Bombyx mori: one gene and its partners. The protein of the gene in region 3 purifies or fractionates together with the protein of the main gene of each other region. This does not show direct contact. Links are inferred from orthologs where the notes say so. Each region holds a gene or a part of one and is shown on either strand. Other genes may lie near its edges. The genes, in order: vacuolar protein sorting-associated protein 51 homolog, EARP and GARP complex-interacting protein 1, syndetin and vacuolar protein sorting-associated protein 52 homolog.

What was found.
Region 1: the proteins of syndetin (region 3) and vacuolar protein sorting-associated protein 51 homolog purify together in Homo sapiens (affinity purification with mass spectrometry; 7 studies listed by BioGRID and IntAct, counting the BioPlex papers as one, with this or other methods). This does not show direct contact. The link is inferred for Bombyx mori from reciprocal best matches to the Homo sapiens genes VPS50 and VPS51.
Region 2: the proteins of syndetin (region 3) and EARP and GARP complex-interacting protein 1 purify together in Homo sapiens (affinity purification with mass spectrometry; 4 studies listed by BioGRID and IntAct, counting the BioPlex papers as one, with this or other methods). This does not show direct contact. The link is inferred for Bombyx mori from reciprocal best matches to the Homo sapiens genes VPS50 and EIPR1.
Region 4: the proteins of syndetin (region 3) and vacuolar protein sorting-associated protein 52 homolog purify together in Homo sapiens (affinity purification with mass spectrometry; 4 studies listed by BioGRID and IntAct, counting the BioPlex papers as one, with this or other methods). This does not show direct contact. The link is inferred for Bombyx mori from reciprocal best matches to the Homo sapiens genes VPS50 and VPS52.

The regions. Positions count from the first base shown.
Region 1 is NC_085115.1:1,407,964-1,412,798, forward strand, and holds vacuolar protein sorting-associated protein 51 homolog, read right to left. Parts: upstream 3,395-4,835; 5' UTR 3,025-3,394; coding exon 925-3,024; 3' UTR 593-924; downstream 1-592. Other genes in the region: uncharacterized protein LOC101737848, read left to right, coding at 4,187-4,361. UniProt on the Homo sapiens protein: Acts as a component of the GARP complex that is involved in retrograde transport from early and late endosomes to the trans-Golgi network (TGN).
Region 2 is NC_085126.1:8,657,232-8,661,562, forward strand, and holds part of EARP and GARP complex-interacting protein 1, read right to left. Parts: intron 2,995-4,331; coding exon 2,803-2,994; intron 372-2,802; coding exon 247-371; intron 1-246. UniProt on the Homo sapiens protein: Acts as a component of endosomal retrieval machinery that is involved in protein transport from early endosomes to either recycling endosomes or the trans-Golgi network.
Region 3 is NC_085130.1:17,523,494-17,528,505, reverse strand, and holds the start of syndetin, read right to left. Parts: upstream 3,310-5,012; 5' UTR 3,061-3,309; intron 937-3,060; 5' UTR 927-936; coding exon 834-926; intron 1-833.
Region 4 is NC_085110.1:11,268,755-11,273,755, reverse strand, and holds the start of vacuolar protein sorting-associated protein 52 homolog, read right to left. Parts: upstream 3,252-5,001; 5' UTR 3,075-3,251; coding exon 2,829-3,074; intron 2,259-2,828; coding exon 2,113-2,258; intron 2,035-2,112; coding exon 1,467-2,034; intron 1,271-1,466; coding exon 1,115-1,270; intron 1,020-1,114; coding exon 901-1,019; intron 1-900. UniProt on the Homo sapiens protein: Acts as a component of the GARP complex that is involved in retrograde transport from early and late endosomes to the trans-Golgi network (TGN).

The DNA of each region.
Region 1 (4,835 bases), on a different chromosome or scaffold from region 3:
GCTAAAGTTTCCTTTTCTAAATCGGGATTCTTACACTCTATATGTAAACAGATTAAATATTATTTACTATCCACTGAGACTTTCTGATCCAATTCATTAGGAAATAGTGAATCTATTGCAATAGTAAATTTCACGGTCTAGTTGTATCCATCAATTAACATCAACATGATTTTAACTTCAAATCATTATATCTTCAATACGTCACCTGTTTATAGATTCAAGATTAAGGATGAAATATCTGTTGTTGCCAATAACTATCATTACCTACTTATCTTTTTTTTTCTTAATTAATACATCAACCTTGATCATTTACCACTACGATGAACTAATCTAAATGCGATGATCATCATAATTTTTTTAGTGAACTAGGACCAAAATATATAAATAATGTCTGTTTTGAATAGTATATTAAAATGTTTTTAATTTTAATGATGTTTATCTACGTGACTAACAAAAATGCAAAAAACAGAGTAGCAGTCTTGTGAGATTTATGTTTTAGAAGCATTTAACATGAAATTTTATAAATGTAGATGATATTATTTTTAATATGATGCAATTTTGATTAATGGGTTATAAATAAAACTACTAAAAGTATAAATAATTGTTTGTTTATTTAATACTAGCGACCCGCCCTCGCTTCGCTTCGGAAACATTAAAACACACATGAAACCAAAAAAAAAAAAAAAAAGTAGCCTATGTTCATCAGGGACAATGTCGGCTTCTAATGGAAAAAGAATTTTTCAAATCGGTCCAGTAGTTTCGGAGCCTATTCGAAAGAAACAAACAAACAAATCTTTCCTCTTTATAATATTAGTATAGATAGTATAGATTTAAGATTGGTATTTAAGTCCCTAGACTAATCTAAATTTGAATCATATGATAATTAAGCCAGTTTTATCAATACAAGCATCATGTTCTTCTCCTTCAACCTCTTTCACAAATAATATCTACAATACTAGGTTCCATTAGTTGTGGGTCAACGCATCTCAACTGTGCTGATGCTAAAGCATCTTCAAGCAAAGCATTTAGAAGCCTCTCATCATTGCCCATACATGAAAGCCTTTGCTGTAGAAAGTGAACATCAACTTGTAATTGCTGTAGGCCATGCCTTCCAAATGTGCGTAGGCGCACACATTCAACTAATGCTTTCAAAGCTACTTTTAGGGCACCATTTGATAGTGCAGCTCTGTCTGCCCCTGCAGGACTAAACACTTCAATTCTTTCAGAGAATATCCTATTAAGAGGTGAAAAAGAAGAAGGAGCACGTGACCAAATAGTACGCCGACTGGAGTCACTAGAAGGTTTAATACTAGTTGGAAACAGTTGAGATGCAGCACCATCAGCACTAGCTAAGGTCTCCACTACTCTTCTGCATACTGCTCTTGGCCCCCTTGGTTCTGGAGCTCGCAACCAATCTCTAGCTAATACAGATACTCTCAACATTTGGGCTGCAGTCTGGCCAATAAATACAACTTCTGAATCTAGTGCAGTCTGCGCTGCAGTAGATAAGTGGACCATGACACTACTAGTATCCTTGTTATCCACAGTGAGGCCAGGAGCAGCCTCTTCTAAGAGTTTGAGAAGATGGTTCTGTAATGTCGAGACACCAGTCTCTTGCATATCCAAACATAGCTTAGCTAGTATAAGTAGCAATTCAAAAGGAATGTTGTTATTTGAAGTCTGAAGGCAAGCCATCTTTTTTACCAGATCAGAAAGATTAGCCATAGTTTCATTTATGACTTTTGAGCAAGCATCAGCTACTGCTTTTGCACACCAAGGTTTTAATCCAAATGATAAATTATTTTGTAAGAATGCCATTAGATCTAAGAGTGAGGCTTGGATTTTTTGCATCAGATATACTTGAAGGGAGTTCAGTATATCTTTTAAGTCAATTGTTTCTGATCCTTTACTGGCCAAAGACTGCCTTACTTTCATAAGACTGTCTTTAAATTGAGTCTGTATGCTCTGGTACTGTACCATAGCCTTGTGATTTATACACTGAATGACAACCTCAGTGCCTTTACTGGACATCATATCACTTGATGATATTTCGGTCATAGCCTGGAGTTTTCTGAAGAATTTATCAAGGCCCCTTATTAACATTTCAGTTCCGTTGTTCTCAGGTCTTTTAATGACCTCTTCGAATAAATGAAAAATTTGAATCATTATTTTATCAGCAAATTCGGGTATGATAGCTTCCTGTTCGAACATTTCATTGTAACATGATATTATAATAGCTAAATCAGCCAACAATGTATTATTGCATTTTTCTACCCAGTCCAAAATGTCTGTATGTTCAGCTATAGAACTGAGCATCTGCAAGTGTTTGTCAAGACGACTCTCTGCACAACTAAGGAATATATCTTGTAAGGATGAATCACTTTCTTGGAGCTGCCTTAAAAGGGCTACACTTTCAGCAAGTTCAGTTGCAGATGTATTAGGACTGATAAGTCTTTCACGGAGTGTCTTCTTCAGTTCAAATATAATTTCTGAACACTCAGTCTGTATGCTTTGGAATGAAGGCTGATTGCCATATTTTTGGAGTACTCGCTGAGCATGTGAATAGTCTTGTACAGCATCACTGTATCTGCCTTCTGCTATTGCTTTGTTAAGTTGAGAAGGTAGAAGGAAAAGGAACTGAAGTTTATCTAACAGCTGTCTTGTACCACACAAACGTCGAACATTATTACCGCTGCCTTGGAGATTTTCAGATATTTGAGAGCTGAATGTAGTTATTTTATTGATATTCTCGCTAAGTTTATTCATTTCTTCTTGCATTATTTTAAAATCGGAACGCATTTTGCGTACAGTTTCGGTCGCCGAAATAAATTTATTATAATTTTCATAAACCAATGTCTGCATTTCTGATTGTAGAAATTGACTTTGAGTTACAATTTCCGCTTCTTTGTCCATTACTTGCTTTAGGGTAGCGCATTTTAGAAGACAATCTAAGTAGACGTCTGGGCTGAAACTACTGCTGTCGATGTCCAGAGGATTTTCTTTAACCGCTTTGGCTTCCTCCATATTATGTACTTTGTTCAATAGGTATAAAAGTGATTCGTTTAAAGCTAATCTCCTTAATAAAATATATTTGCGGTTTATTGGTTCGTCTGCAATTCTAATTTACCAAAGAGAATAACTATTTAGAAACACAACATTTCAGCTGCGAGGACTGACGTCGATAAGACCTTATGAGAATGAGAACAATTATGTTTATTTATACTATTTCCTACTTTACTAATACTCCGTCTTATAAATGCAGTTTTAGAATAAACATTAAAGCTTATATATTTTATTTCTGTATATACAATAATGAACATATGTATACATTGTATACTATACATACATATAGGTATGTACGTTTGATAATATTTCCCCATTTTTTTAAATAATTTTTTCTGGCTTGGAAACAAAGTCTTTTAAGCCAAATTAGCTTTTATTATTAAAATTTATGCAAGGTAATCTTTATCATACGTACTGCTATGTACTGCGTTTTTTGAATATTTTATGACTGGCCTGGTAACAAGACCTTTAAGCGAAGTACTCAGTACTTACTAGTCCACTGAGTTTCTCGCCGGATCTTCTCAATGGGTCGCGTTTCTGATTTGGTGGTAGATTTTGCAAAGCACTGCTCTTGCTAGGGCCAGTGTTAGCAACAGTTTGAACCGGTTTGAACCCTGTGAGCTCACCACGTCAAGGCGAAGCTGAAATAGCCTCTCAAAGCTATCAGCATTGGTAGGGAAAAGTACTTATATTCATTTTAATTATATTACTTATGAGCATACACGGGTAATGCACTAAATATAGAAAAGAACCACGGGTACTGTATTATTTCCTATGGTAGTTCAGAAGATCCATGGTGGAACATCCACGCAGCCTTCCTCTTCTTCTTATTACGTTATCTCATGTTATTGCCCTTATCTCACTTCTTTTAATTCTCTTTTAATTCTTTTAATATATCCCATCGCTCCTTTTGAGTTTTCTGACAACAGCCAGCCTTTCATAACAAAATATTTGGTTGTATAGTCAAATATATCTTTGCCTATAATAACGAATCAACCAAAAAAATATATTTTGAAGTTTGTGTGTTTAAATTTGAAAACTTTCTGTTGCGAATTGTTTTGTGATTTTTTTGCTAAAATACTTCTCATATACAATAGAAAACTTGGGAGCAAAAAACGTAAGGATGGCTCCTCGAGATGTCCCCAAACCTACGCCTAAAGTGCAACGAATTGTAGGGAAGACTAATCAGACTAAAGGACGCGCTTCGCCTGCGTCTGTTAAGAAAACGATGTCGTCTATCAAAAAGGCGACTGACAAGATACCTTTAAAATGTAAGATTCCATTTTTACACTCTCGAGGTGAATCTATTCAATATCTCTTCCTTAGGCTTGAGGTTTGAATTTCCAAAGATTTCTCAACGGATGTTCTTCAATTCCGAGAGCCGTAGGCCTTTAATTAAAATTTTTTTTTTTAAATCTCGTTTAAAGTTTTCATTTTATTATTTCCGACTTTTAGTGATCACAAACGGCTTATGTATTATTCGCCAACATTTGCATATTGCTCTAAGAACGATCTTATCAAGAGAATCAAACTTGAAATCCTTAAAATGCAAATTGTAGTTCCTATTTACATCCGAGGACGTCGTGTATTAAAACCAAATAACATAAGTAGCAACTGAAAAATTCAATAACTACTGTGATATCTTGGAAATTTGTGTCCTAAGGAAAGCACTAAATTTGTCAAAGTCATATGGAATGGAAATGAAATAAATAAAAACAAATAAATAATTTCTAAGGCAAGGCTGAAAAGGCACTTAGAATACCTGACTTAAA
Region 2 (4,331 bases), on a different chromosome or scaffold from region 3:
ATAGGTGATGTCCACGAGCAACGGTAACGCGCCACCAAGTAATTTGTGAGGTCGTCTACTTATTTTATGTATTTAAAAAATGCCTTTGTTTTCTGATGGCAGACAACGACTTCGTTGTGCATTGCTGAGGTCCATGAGCGACGGTAACCATTTATAATCAGTTGGGCCGTATGCTAGTCTGCCTACAAAAGGCAATAAAAAAAAAGTGGACTTATTTTAGGGAAAACATGTTTCTGTGTTATTTACCGATTCGGATTGAAGTCTAGATCCCGAACTAATTGTCTATGCGCGTTGTCTATGCTCCAAGATGGTTTCGAGCAGTCAGTGCGCGTGTCGAAGCATTTTATGTGCATATCTTGCAGAACAGCAAACTGTTGATATGAAACCAAAGAAACCAATTATTCTTTTATCTTCTTAATATAACTAGTCAGGTCATAAGTATTGTCACACAGTAAAAACTTTTCTTTTAGATTGCTGCCCACAAAAAAGTTTATTGAATTCGAATTTCGAATTGTTCATGAAAATAAAAATGTATACTTTTAGAATTTTACTCATTTTTAAATATGGAGTGAACGTTTAAAGAAGACCGTGTTGCAGTTATTGCGTTGCATCGTTGCGGTTACGCGCCAATTCAAATTTTTAACATACTGAAAAATTTGAATATAACCAAGAGATTTGTTTATCGTACCATCAAACGATACAATGAAGACTCTAGTGTAGATGACAGGTCAAGAAGTGGTCGCCCTCGGTCTGTTAGGACTCCAGCAGTGATAAAAGCTGTGAAGGCGCGAATTCAAAGAAATCCCAAACGTAAGCATAAACTGTTGGCCCTTCAGATGGGGTTAAGCAGAACCACGGTGAAAAGGGTGTTAAATGAAGACTTAGGGCTTCGGGCATGTCGAAGAAAAACAGGACATCGTTTGAATGCTGGTCTAATGGACCTGAGACTGAAGAGATGCCGCGCTTTGTTGAAGCGGTACGCGGGAAAAAAATATCGGGAAATTCTTTTTTCGGATGAAAAAATTTTTACCGTAGAAGAGAGCTACAACAAACAAAATGATAAGGTGTACGCACACAGTAGTGAAGAAGCGAGCAACCGTATTCCGCGTGTCCAACGAGGTCATTTTCCATCCTCGCTCATGGTATGGTTGGGAGTTTCTTATTGGGGCTTAACAGAGGTACATTTTTGTGAGAAAGGTGTAAAAACGAATGCAGTTGTGTATCAAAATACAGTCCTGACGAACCTTGTGGAACCTGTTTCTCATACCATGTTCAATAACAGGCACTGGGTATTCCAACAAGATTCGGCGCCAGCTCATAGAGCGAAGAGCACACAAGACTGGCTGGCGGCGCGTGAAATCGACTTCATCCGGCACGAAGACTGGCCCTCCTCCAGTCCAGATTTGAATCCGTTAGATTACAAGATATGGCAACACTTGGAGGAAAAGGCGTGCTCAAAGCCTCATCCGAATTTGGAGTCACTCAAGACATCCTTGATTAAGGCAGCCGCCGATATTGACATGGACCTCGTTCGTGCTGCGATAGACGACTGGCCGCGCAGATTGAAGGCCTGTATTCAAAATCACGGAGGTCATTTTGAATAAACTTTAGTGTCATAAGAATCTATGTTTTGTTAAGTTCATTTTGGTATATGAATGGTTACATAATGAATAAACTTGTTTCAATTATTTTACATCAAACATGTGACAGAATTTATGACCTGACTAGGTATATAAACTACGTGTCACATTATTTGTCCGCGATGGACACCTAAACTACTGAACCGATTTTAACTTATTTTTTTTTAAATAAGGGGTTTGATCCAATTTAGGCCATAGGATGGTTTTTATTTCGATTAATGGTCATAATATTTATTAATTAACAATAAAATGATTTCTTATGTTGATTATTGTTATTAATTGTATGTTTCATAAGTCTAAAACAGATGGCGCCTTAAATCAGTTTTTACAGACAATTGTAATACTGTCTGACATTAATATCTCATAGATGGCGCTGTGTTAAAATACCAAAGTTTCACATAAGCTACAATTTAAAGGCATAAACACCACGTGTTGCTGAGACTAAAGTATAAGTGAAATTTATTTCGTAGTAAACGAAATACAGTGTAATCCAATTGGTCTTACTTTGTTAAGTTATGGTATTAGCATAGCCAGCCGCGTGTTTTTTTAGAAACAAAAACCTTAGCCATAGCAACGTGTGGTCGGGTCTTCTAGTTATATTATATTACTTTACTGTACATTTTAAGTGTTAACTATGTTTACCAAGGGAAAATCAATTCTAGGCATTTATAGATAGAGGTCATGTGTCCTGAGAATGTCTAGAGGTGGTGCCATTGCAAAGCATACAAGCCAGAGGAAGAATTGTCGAAATTAAAAGATCTGGAAAATAATATTATAATAATATGTCGTGTCATGTCTATGATTGTTCTTGATTATGGTCCCAGATAACATAGCCTGGACAGTTCCGAGCCTGTTTTTATGGCTATATTTTTTTTTAATGTCCTGGACGTTTGAGCCGAACGTCTATTTAACAATTATTGTTTAATAACAGTGAAATGGAATGTAATTTAATGAAATTGTTGTTAACTACGAGATAATATGAAACTATGGGAATTTACGGAGTGCAAATTCGTTTTTTGGTTTGATGATTTGTGCATCTTAGAAGAAACATTTAATATTAAAAAAAAAAACAATTTCCTTAACGTCATAATTGACGCCAAGAAGCCTGTGTATCACGACGCAGTAGCCCTAAAGATGAGTAAGCCATGATTTTAGAACGCACCTGAGTGTGACCTTGATGCGGGTTCCACTTGCCGGCGGTGAGCTTGAGCCTGGTCCGACCGTCAGATTTCATGCTGCACACCGCAGCTCCAGAGCTCACGTCGTGTACCCTCACGCTGGACTCGTATACGACACCCAAGCGCCCCGCGTCCGTAGGATGCCACTCAGCGCAACGGATCTCCTCTTCGGCCTTCTAGATTTTTTTTATGACACATTGTATGCGAGAGCACTGAGTTCTGGCCCATTCAGTCTGCAGATATCGTGGGGACAGAGAAACTAAAGGTCGTAGATAAAAAATAATATATCCTACTATAACCCTATGGTCAGAATGGTCAGGAAGTATAACGATTTGGCTAAATGTCACAGAGACTTTGATATTTTTTAACCTTGAGTCTAGCTCAAAGGATATGCCAGATGTATTTTTTTATTACCCTGGAAGGCAAACGAGCACACGGCCCACCTGATGGTGAGTGGTTGCCGTCGCCCATGGACTTCAGCAATGCCAGGGACAGAGCCAAGCCGCTGCCTACCGTACAGTGGCCAGTTGTCGATATTGAATGTGTGAGAATTAATCTTGATCATGTTATAGCCTGGAAAGGGATTAATGTTTGTGTTGGTTGTATTGTAGTTATCTAAATAATGGATACTTCTTGTTGTTTTTTTCTTTCACTGGAACCCGTAATTTTATTTGTAATTTTGTTGAAGTGAAAACTTCTTTAGAATCGTTGTGATTTCAAACCGGATGCAACGGAAAAAACGACAGGTAAGAGACACAAATACAAAAATGTGTAGGATGAAGCCAGCAAAGAATGAGACAGAAATATACATACTATTTAATACAGCGTCATCTGTGAGATTTTTTAATACTAACGTGTGTATGAAAGCTCTTGTAGTGAATTTTAATTTAGGATTATTATACGTGAAATTAAAATATCAATTCACAGAGGGCGCTATCTTACAATTATTTACTAATGACAAAATTTTACATATACTTAAGACGTTTAGGATAATTGTATTTTAATTTTGGAATTTTTCACTTCTACCACGTGTGAATTGCACACATGTTTTTTTTTTTGTTTTAAATAACTAATTTAGAGGCTCGCTCGTTATGTACATTAATATGGGTTTGCTGAGTGCATGTATGATTTAGATTGAAGTCCAGATTTAGTTACTATTTGTATGATTTAGTTCATATGTAATGTAGTGTAATGATTGTGATTTCTTTTGTGCATCAATGAAAATAAATAAAAAAAGATTACAACATTTCATTGTATAATGTTTCAAATGTACAATCACTGTCATTCTTGTAACTAAGCAAAAAAACATATTTTCTATATGTAAATAATGAATTCAATATGAAAGTAACGTGAGGGAGGGTCATCCTAAAAAAATTGTATGGGTCTGAGGGTTGAGATGTTGTATGATGGGCTTGAATAGTAAAAGAAATCATGCTGCATCGACCCTACGCAGTGGAATAAGAGCAAAAAGAAGAAGAACAAATAACTAATAGAAATCGAATATAATAGAAAA
Region 3 (5,012 bases):
AGCGAAGCGGAAGAAGTGAACTAAGAGTTGTAAAGTGTTCGTAAGTGTTTTAAGTGTTAAATAGAGTTTTAATTTGTACTTCGATAGAATTTTTATTTATTCCGAACCCCAACGCGTTACAATATTATCGACTGATCGCTTATCCGATACCAATAGTTCCGATTACTGACTGACTGCGAGCCATCTTTGCAACGCTTTTATAGCCGATACCACAGCCCTAGAATTATCGACGATATTCCACATTTTTCGAGAATTATGTTTCCGCTATCTGACAATAGATGGCGTTGTACTTCTCGAGCGTTCTAGGTGCTACTAGATCCTTCGATATCCGTTCGACTATTCGACGATAGATGGCGTTACTCTTACCGGCGTAACAATATATGTGTTTAGGATTTAGTATCAGAGAGAATGAGATTGAATATTTCAAAAGGTTTCATGTCTAATGTACTCAATGAATAATGTATGCCGATGTATGTTCAAGTTTCACTTGTTATACACATACTTCTCCGGTGTGATTGAGTCTTTGACATCATGGCATAAAAAGCCCACTCAATTTCTCGCCGGATCTTCTCAATGGGTCGCGTTTCCGATCCGGTGGTAGATTCAGCGAAGCACTGCCCTTACTAGGGTCAGTGTTAGCAACGCCTCCGGTTTGAGCCCCAAGAGCTCACCTACACGCTAGGGATATAGCTTCTCAAGGCCATCAGCATAGGTAGGGAAAAAAATTTGGCATAAAATGAATATGTCGTCTATGGACTGTAGCTTAGCATGAGGTGAGCCCTACAATATCAAAACGGAATACTATTTGTTGTGCGACATATTGATATACAAACCTCAAGATCAGCAGCAGAATGAGCAGAGCTGAGCGACCTCGAGTTGACTCCGGGAGGACCACGGCGGTTTTCGACAACATCATTGGACAGCATGTTGCAAGACCTATTTATAACATCATTACATTGAAGGGTGAAAGGGTATTTCGTTTAAGCGACATTTATCTTCATAATTAAAGGTACGAATTATTTGGTACTAGAGGTCCCGCAGTAATCGAAATTCGACTATAATTAATTGAAATTGTAAGTTTGTACACTATTATGATTGTATTTTATACATCTATAATCAAAAATTTCGCCAAGACTACACTATAAAAAATATTAATAAAGACAAACAATATTTAATCTATTCTCAATTTGACAACAGACGCCAAGAACAAAAGTTTGACAAAAAATAGTATGCATGCACGTGTGCGTCAAATACATGGTATGTAGTGTGTGTAATGTTTTCTTTAATGATTTAATGTATCTTTTATGCATTATTTTAAAAATATATTAGCATTGTGCACTTCTTCTCTAAATTCTCTATAAGTGTGGAAAATTTCATACTCCTCTGTTCGCCCAATTTGCCTAAAAAGGGATACAAAGTTTTTGCTTCACGTATTAATATATAGATTAGCATCGACAGTTCGATTTTTTCAATTGAACTTCAATTAAGTTTACTCCACTAGATGATGACCGCTAGATGATAATGATATAATTTTTTTTATAATGCCATTTTGCAGTGTCTTTAAAGCAGTTAGTTGCTCTCAATTAAGAAAAATAGTATTATCTTATACCTTTAAACGAGAAATTCTTGTATATATATATAATCTGAATCTCGGAAACGGCTCCAACAATATTCATAAAATTTAGTATACAGGGGATTTCGGGGGCGATAAATCGGTCTAGCTAAGATTTATTTTCGGAAAATGTTGTTTTATTCGTGTTTTCAATAATCAACTCTTCCCGACATCTATTGGCAGATAATAATACTATTTTTCTTAATTGAGGGCAACTAACCGCCTTAAAGACACAACAAGATGGCGTTATAAAAAAAAAACCCGTCATCATCTAGTGAGTAATGAAATTAAAACACTGGTGGTATAAGTGGTATAACCACCACGTCCATTTCTGTAGTGAAGCAGTTATGCGTTTCGATTGGTAATTACTTTTTTGCTTCTTTTTTTTTTATTGCTTAGGTCGTCGATCTCTCGGCCCATCTGATATTAAGTGGTTACCGGAGCCAATAGACATCTACAACGTAAATGCTGCAACCTACCTTGAGATATCAGTTCTAAGGTCGGTCATCATATAGTTATTATTATTCGCCAATAGATGTCGGGAAGAGTCATAAAGTTGATTATTGAAAACACAAATAAACATTTCCTGAAAATAAATCGTAGCTAGATCGATTTATCGCCCCTGAAATCCCTTGTATATAAAATTTTATAAAAATCGTTGGAGCCGTTTCCAAGATTTAGATTATATATATATACAAGAATTGCTCATTTAAAGGTATAAGATTCAAATAGCTGAAGGGGTTTTTTTGATATGATATTTTTTAACAATTTCAAACTTTATATAGCTCTCCTGTAAAGTTGCAAAAATGTAATTTATCCAAATACCTTCACTCCCTCATTATGTACGTATTTAAATTACAAACAAAAACTCGTATATAAAAATTGGTTATTATTAATTGCCTCATTAGTCTAGCGATGACTGAACAACTGCATTTTGGGTTTCCATAAAATTTATTTTTGCAGTATCATACTTATCTTCATTTACATATAAAACGCTATAAGCTATTTGCTTCGTAATTTCAAACAAAAGTAGTTATCCCTATGGGAATTACGTTACTATGAGTATTAAATCTTTGCACATAGTTGCTTGTATTGCATTTTATTTATTGCCTATGTTGGCCGACGTGGTGTTGTAGTTATCGTCAGTCGTAGACGTCATGCCAGTTCCTCCAAAGAGGTAGTGGACAGTCTAAGGCAATAGGCAGCATGTAGGAACAACTTTACTGACTCTGAGTATATAAGCTTTATTATTTTTTTACTTTTATACCCTAATTTCAAGATAAACTTTAAATAGGGGCGCAGAATATCTTTGATTTGTTTCGAAGTTACTAAAATATCAGAGTGAAATGACTACTGTAAAACTGTTTCAGACACTTCCGCGTGACCTCATAGCAGGAAAAAACTTAGTTGCTGCGTAAATAGAAGTAAAACATTGAGTAAATACTGACCTGAGTTATTTATTTTGGTTATTTATTGAAACACTTCAAGATCATACGTGCGTAGCGCATACTATGCATGTTACTGCTTAAACTAAATATTTTAACTAATTATAACTTCTCTGTGAAAAACACTGAGATTAAATCTTAATTCGTTACATTATTTAAATATAATTCATTAATATATATTTGTTTTTTTTTTATAAAAACAAAGTTTCGCTTGACTGTTTGACATTGAATCGTTCTCAATTGACATTTGACATTGAGATTTGAGTTTTCGTTAGCTTTTTTTATTTGTCAAATGATTAGCAAAAGGAGCAGTGCCAATTCTACCAAACATTTAGATTATATCTGGTGAGATAAAACCACATCGAGTGGATGTTAAATGAGATAGAATGTCGTAAGCAGTTAAATGGTGAGTTATCACCTCAGAAAATAGGTAGATATCGCATAGAGTACCTAAAGCTCTCAGTTCAGTGGACTTACTAAAATAACCCAAAACTACACTTGAGCACCTCCAGCTATTTTGTTTCCTATTCCCAAACTTGTGACTAATCATTAGACCTTTGTGCCGGCCACTGACATGCGCGCAAATATTCGTACATTGTACGAATGTTTGCGCGCATGTGAAGGGCCGTCAAACATTCATTCGCAAACCTAGCGGCTGTGCAAATGGGTTCGCATTCTCAATTTGCGAACCCGTTTGCGCTTCCTCCTACACTTGTTTACGAATGTCTCACGAATTTCTCCTCCTTTTTAATTCGTCAACAGAACATTGAAGAGAAAAATAGTTTTTAATTCTTTACCAGACATCATTAACAGCCATGCTGTTTTTATGGGATTTCTTTTGATGAAGATACGCTACACAGTAGACGTCACGAACTATGAAAATGGCGTATAGTATACGTCCGTTACCTTCGCAATCGTCGGCGCAACTGGGCAAGTGAATGTGTGGGAGACTACGCGAAGGTTCGAGGTTCGCGCGCTTTGATGTCTGTTAAAAAACCGACACAGCTTGGAAAACCACGAATGCAGCGAAAACTTTGCATAATCATTCGCAAATGTCGTCCTACAGTTGTGGGTTTGCGTATTCGTGCGCATGTGAGTGACCGGTGTTGGAATTGAATGATTTCTATGAAAAAGTTACTAATTTTAAGATTTTTATTGAATGTACCTTTAGCCGTAAGCATCTGTAATTTATTCCAAGTCGTTGAAAATAATAGTACTGTTTTAAGCTTAATGATCAGCTTAACACGCTTTTTGTAGCATGAGTAAAACATAGCAACTCGTTGATTTTTTTTCGTACCTATGCTGGTAACCTCGAGCGGCTATGCCTGCTTAGTCGGGCTGGCACTGGTACTGCGAGTTTGTTTATAGTGCTGACCGCGGGAACCCCCTTACTCTAACCAGCTCAGAACCCGGTCAGAGTAAGGGGGTCAGAACCCCGGGTGGAGATAGGACGTTGGATGTAAAAGTGCAGGGGAGTCGTTTAGTGCGGTAGGGCCCTAAAACGTCCTTGGGCCTGCGGTCTGCTCTCATCTGCAGATCGTCAAATCCTACATAACCCGCACGCCCCCTAGGCGTGCCGACCTCTATTGCTTAGATGGGTGGACGAGCTCACAGCCCACCTGATGTTAAGTGGTCACTGGAGCCCATAGACATCTACAACGTAAATGCGCTACCCACCTTGAGATATAAGTTCTAAGTATAGTTACAACTGCTGCCCAACCCTTCAAACCGAAACGCATTACTGCTTCACGGCAGAAATAGGTAGGGTGGTGGTACCTACCCGCGCGGACTCACAAAAGGTCCTACCACTAGTAAAAATGGTCTAAATGGTTATGGCACCCTTTAGATGTGTGCAAAGTTTTATATCAATTGGGGGACTAGTTCACGAGTTTTAGGTACACATAAATACACACATTCATTCTTTTTTATGTACATAGCTTTACAGAATAGTTATA
Region 4 (5,001 bases), on a different chromosome or scaffold from region 3:
AGGTACACAGCATAGATATGAGATTTTGTTGTACGCATTTATTATGTGTGTATTTTAGATTTTATCGTTACATGGTGTTGCTGCGCTGAGGGTTGGTTTCTGAATAAGGAACTCTTCAATGGGCAGCATAGATATTAAAAATATATGCATTCAGTTATGATGAGTGATTTCTCAGTTTCATCATCTCATGGTTACAGCCCTCAAAATGAACAGCACTGGCACAATCTACTTGTATACTAATATTATAAAGCTGAAGAGTTTGTTTGTTTGAACGCGCTAATCTCAGAAACTACCAGTTGGATTAAAAAAATTCTTTCAGTGTTAGATAGCCCATTTATCAAGGAAGGTTATATAACATCACGGTAAGATCAATACAAGTGGAGCACCAATAAAAAATGTTTCAAAATAAGGGTTTCAATAGCTTCTTAACATTCTACAATTCCAAAATATTGTTACTTTCTACATAAATGAAGTGGGGAGTAAAATTTAGCGTTATTCCAAAGTAACTATTCCACGCGGACGGAGTCGCGGGCAAAAACTAGTATATTGATATGCATTCAATATCAAAAGCCAGTTCTTGTCTGGTATTCACAATGTATATAGTATTCTATGGCTTATGTAATTCGGAGAGACGGGCCTCATCAGCATTGGGTTTAAGATAAGGAAAACTACAAACTCAAACATAGAACTGTTATGTTAAGCAGAAGTAAGTTTCAACCAAACACTAAAGTCAAGATGAGACTTGAGGACTGAGTGGGTTTATGGTGGGTCGAACATGACATACAAGTGTCGCCTCAGGGCTGATTAACCCTATATTTATTTACTCTTTGCCATATTAGCTCTTACCCTTCTAAATGAAGGTTTGTCAGTGTCGATACATTTCTTAATATGAATTCTCACCTGTCCAGAGCCGCAACTGCTCTTTTATGGCACATTAACTTATATCTGTTTATTAATTGGATACAAAGAAATAGTGCCAAACAATCATAACATTCAACTACATAGTTTTCCACATTTTTCTGTAAAATAAAAAATTAAGATGATTCAATTCAATTCAGACTATTCAATTTCCAGAAATAAATATTTATGTACATAATTTTAATGGTTTACTCACTACAAGCACGGACAATGTTTTACCGAGGATTCTATCAAAGAGCTCTTGTGCATGGTTTCCTTTGACATGGAAGAATTCAGTGGTAAACAGATATTCTCTGCAACCATTGTCTACCAAGGCATATTGAAGACTTCTAAATAAGGCTTCATATGAATACTGAAAATAATTTATTTATTATCAAGAAGTGGATCAAAACATGAATATAGTGTCATTAAAAAAATGATATGCATACAGCAAGCAATAAATATTTTAAAGTTGTTAATTTCATATTTTATTTAGGAATGAAAAGATTTTAATCACTTGATTCTATAAACGAGAAACCAAATGAAATTTGTAATATTGTATTTTGTACCTTTGTTTTTTGCTGAACATGTGGTACAATAATGGGTGCTTCTAGTTGTTGGGCCAGAACATCACCTCTATTCCCTATAGTGAATATTGTACTTTTATTTTTTAAATTAGATTTCTGGAAGAATCCTCCTTTAGATCCATCCTCAATTCCCATTAAGTCATCTTTGTTGGGTGCTTCTTCATATTTCAATTTATCTAGTCTTGATGCATATGACTTGAAGTATGAATAATAAACTTTGCTCAATGTATCAATATATTCATTGCAAATTTCTTGAGCCACATTTCGTTCATTGGTCAATACAAATTCAAAGAAAAATTTGTATTTCAGCATGGCATTTTGTGGTATTTGATAATTTGCCATTGGTTTTCTGAATTTATATATTTGTTCTAAAATATATGTTCTTATCTTTGACACTGCTTTTATCTTTAATTTTTCCAAAACGTCTTTGACATCATGACAAGCTTTAGTTTCTTTGAAATCTTGTTCCTTTACAAAATTTAATTTTTGGTTTAAAATTGCCAACTGCACCATGAATTCTTTGTCGGTAACTGGAACATTGTTGATACCACTGGAATGTAATAGTAAATATAATAGAGTACAATTAAAATCCATAAAAGTGGATAAATGAATCCAGGCAATCACTTACAATATAACAGTTTCCGACACTGCCATGTCTTCTATGAATGCAGATAAAGGTCCCTTAAGCACTTGTCTATTAGATAACTGTACTGACATATTCACTGAACGCTTTTGTAAACTTATAATTTCATTGCTGATGCTTCCTAAATCATTCTGTTACAAGAAAAGTTATCATTAAAGAATACAATAGGCACAACATTTTTCAATAGAGCTATTCTCAACATCAAAATTTTCAGTTTATTGGCAAGTAGGACCTGTTTGTAGTTCATGTTTACATTCCAGGGAATTCCACAGTACTGAAATCTTTAGGTATGATATAGTATCAAGATTAACTCAAACTCTCTCAACTCAATTAGAAATTAAAATTAAAGTTCTCAGTTAACTGTCAGAGGTATTTCAGTTCACTAGATCTTATTGATAATAGTTTCTCTGTCTGTCGAACTCCTAAGCCTTTTAAACAAGCACTAAAAACTAAAAAATTAACATTTATTTGAGACTTTTTTCTATAAAGGTAATAGGTATTCTATAGTCACATTATTATAAATATTTTATTTCCTAGCATTCCCTAACATGCTTTGTATTTATTTTATTTTCCAAGGAGATGTATTTTTCTATCTTTATTGTGTGAAAGGAGAGGCCTATGCCCAGCAGTGGGTACCAAAGGGCTGAAAACTATAATAGTGTTGTAAATCTGTTTTATGCGGTAAATAGAGATAAATTTACCTGAAACACCAGTAGCATACTCTCCATTTTCCCTAAAATATTGTCACATTCTTCGATTTGATTATGAAGGGAGCCAATATTCTCACTTTCTCTCAAATAATCCGCAACAGATGCTTTTTCAGCTTCGATGATTCCTTTGTCGATTTGAAGAGCATATTCTCGCAAATCTGTACCATTACGGAGAACCTCTTGGATTTCGAAATCCTCAAGATTTTTGTCTAAGTTCATGTTGTTGTTATCAGACATGATTAAACTCTAGTGGAATGACGGGAAATCAACATTTATACTTGACTGTGTGCGTTTTCAACTATTCACATACATTTTACTTGAATTTTTAGGTTTTGTATTTAATTTTTTTTGTTGTTTTAAACAATTTAAAGCACTGAAACAGTGACACTACTTATGACGTTTTTTTCGTTTTTCTTTCTGGATGGACAAAGAGTTCAAAGCCCATACAGCCAAATAAAAAAAATATTAAAATCTCAGACTCTTTGGCGCGAACACGAAGAGCGAAATTGTATGAATTTTTGTTTTGTTGGTTTTGTTTCCTAATTTTAGGGTTTCTTCAGATTTAAACGTGTAATAAAGGTAGTTTATTAACCTCGTTTTGTGTTGAATGTGGCTTCTCGGGTTGTTCCAGTTTCTGATCTCATATTAAATAACTACCATTTTATTGAGACTTTATTCTATCTCATCTCATCTCATTTAATTTCATCCGAATTGATTACAGTCTCAAATTAATTAACTTCATCTCATTTTGCTTCATTATGTATATAAAATATGTATAGGCGTCCCACAAGAAAATATATGATTTTATTTCCCTAAGAAACTGTATGAAGTCTTCCAAGTACTGGTTGGCTCCTGGAGTTGTGGGTTGTGGGTGTTGAAGGCAGTAGTGGGTTTTCTATGTAGCGTGGGGAAATTAAGTTTTAAAAGTTTGTTACATGGTTTTGGTATGTGTCAATTTAAAAAGTAATTAAGTAAGTGTGGGTGAGGATTGTGGCCTTACTGTCAAAACCTACAAACACTCGATTTTTTTTTATTATTTATATGGGTGGACAAGCTCACAGCCCACCTGGTGATAAATGGTTACCGGAGCCCATAGACATCTACACCGTAAATGACACCATCCACCTTGAGATATGAGTTCTAAGGTTTCAGTAAAATTACAACGGCTGTCCCACCCATCAATTCGAAACGCATTACTGCTTCACGGCAGAAATAGGCAGGGTGGTGGTACTAACCTACTATTGCGGACTCACAAGGGGTCCTACCACCAATAACTATGCAAATTATAATTTTGCGGGTTTGATTTTTATTACACGATGTTTTTCCTTCACCATGGAAATCAATCGTGAACATTTGTTAAGTACGTATTTTATTAGAAAAATTGGTACCCGCCTGCGGGATTCGACCATCGGTGCATCGCTCAACACGAATGCACCGGAAGTCTTATCCTTTAAGCTACGATGACTTCAAATATTCTAGAAAAGTACGTTTTTTATTAAATTCAAGGGATGAAAAATAAACACACAAATTTAATGGATGCATAAGCATCAATGATATTATTCTCAAGAAATATTTACAAAGAAAATGTATAACTTTAACAAAAGCACAACTAAGAATAGAGTAAAATTATATTGAAATGTCAAGAAATGCCATTGTATTAATTATGCATATTGTAATTGTATTAAAGGACTTGTAGATAGAATAAATGAATGCCTATGTACACATACATATGAACATATTTAGTACATATTCTCGTTGATCTATTTAACTGATAAATTATGTTTTATATTAATATTTAAGAAAGTTTAACTGCAATTTACGACTATCAAACGGACAGGATCTCGGCATCAAGTAAAAAATACCGTGACGTACTTCCTAATTTGACATTTCTAGTAGTAGTAGTTTCAGTTAGTAGCAGTTTATTTTCCTAACTGTCTAACTGATGTTCAAGGTTTACCATTCTTAAAGTAGGTTGACCTTAGATAGGCCGCAGTTACTCAAACGTATTGCATGCATAGACATAGTAGTTGACAGATATAAACCCGGGGAAAAATAGGAATAAAAGAAACGACGTCGCTACTATATCCATGTCCTTACTGTATTTGTATTTACATTATGAAAGGATCGAAGAAGAGTAAAGAGGAGAGGTTTAATTAAAGTACAC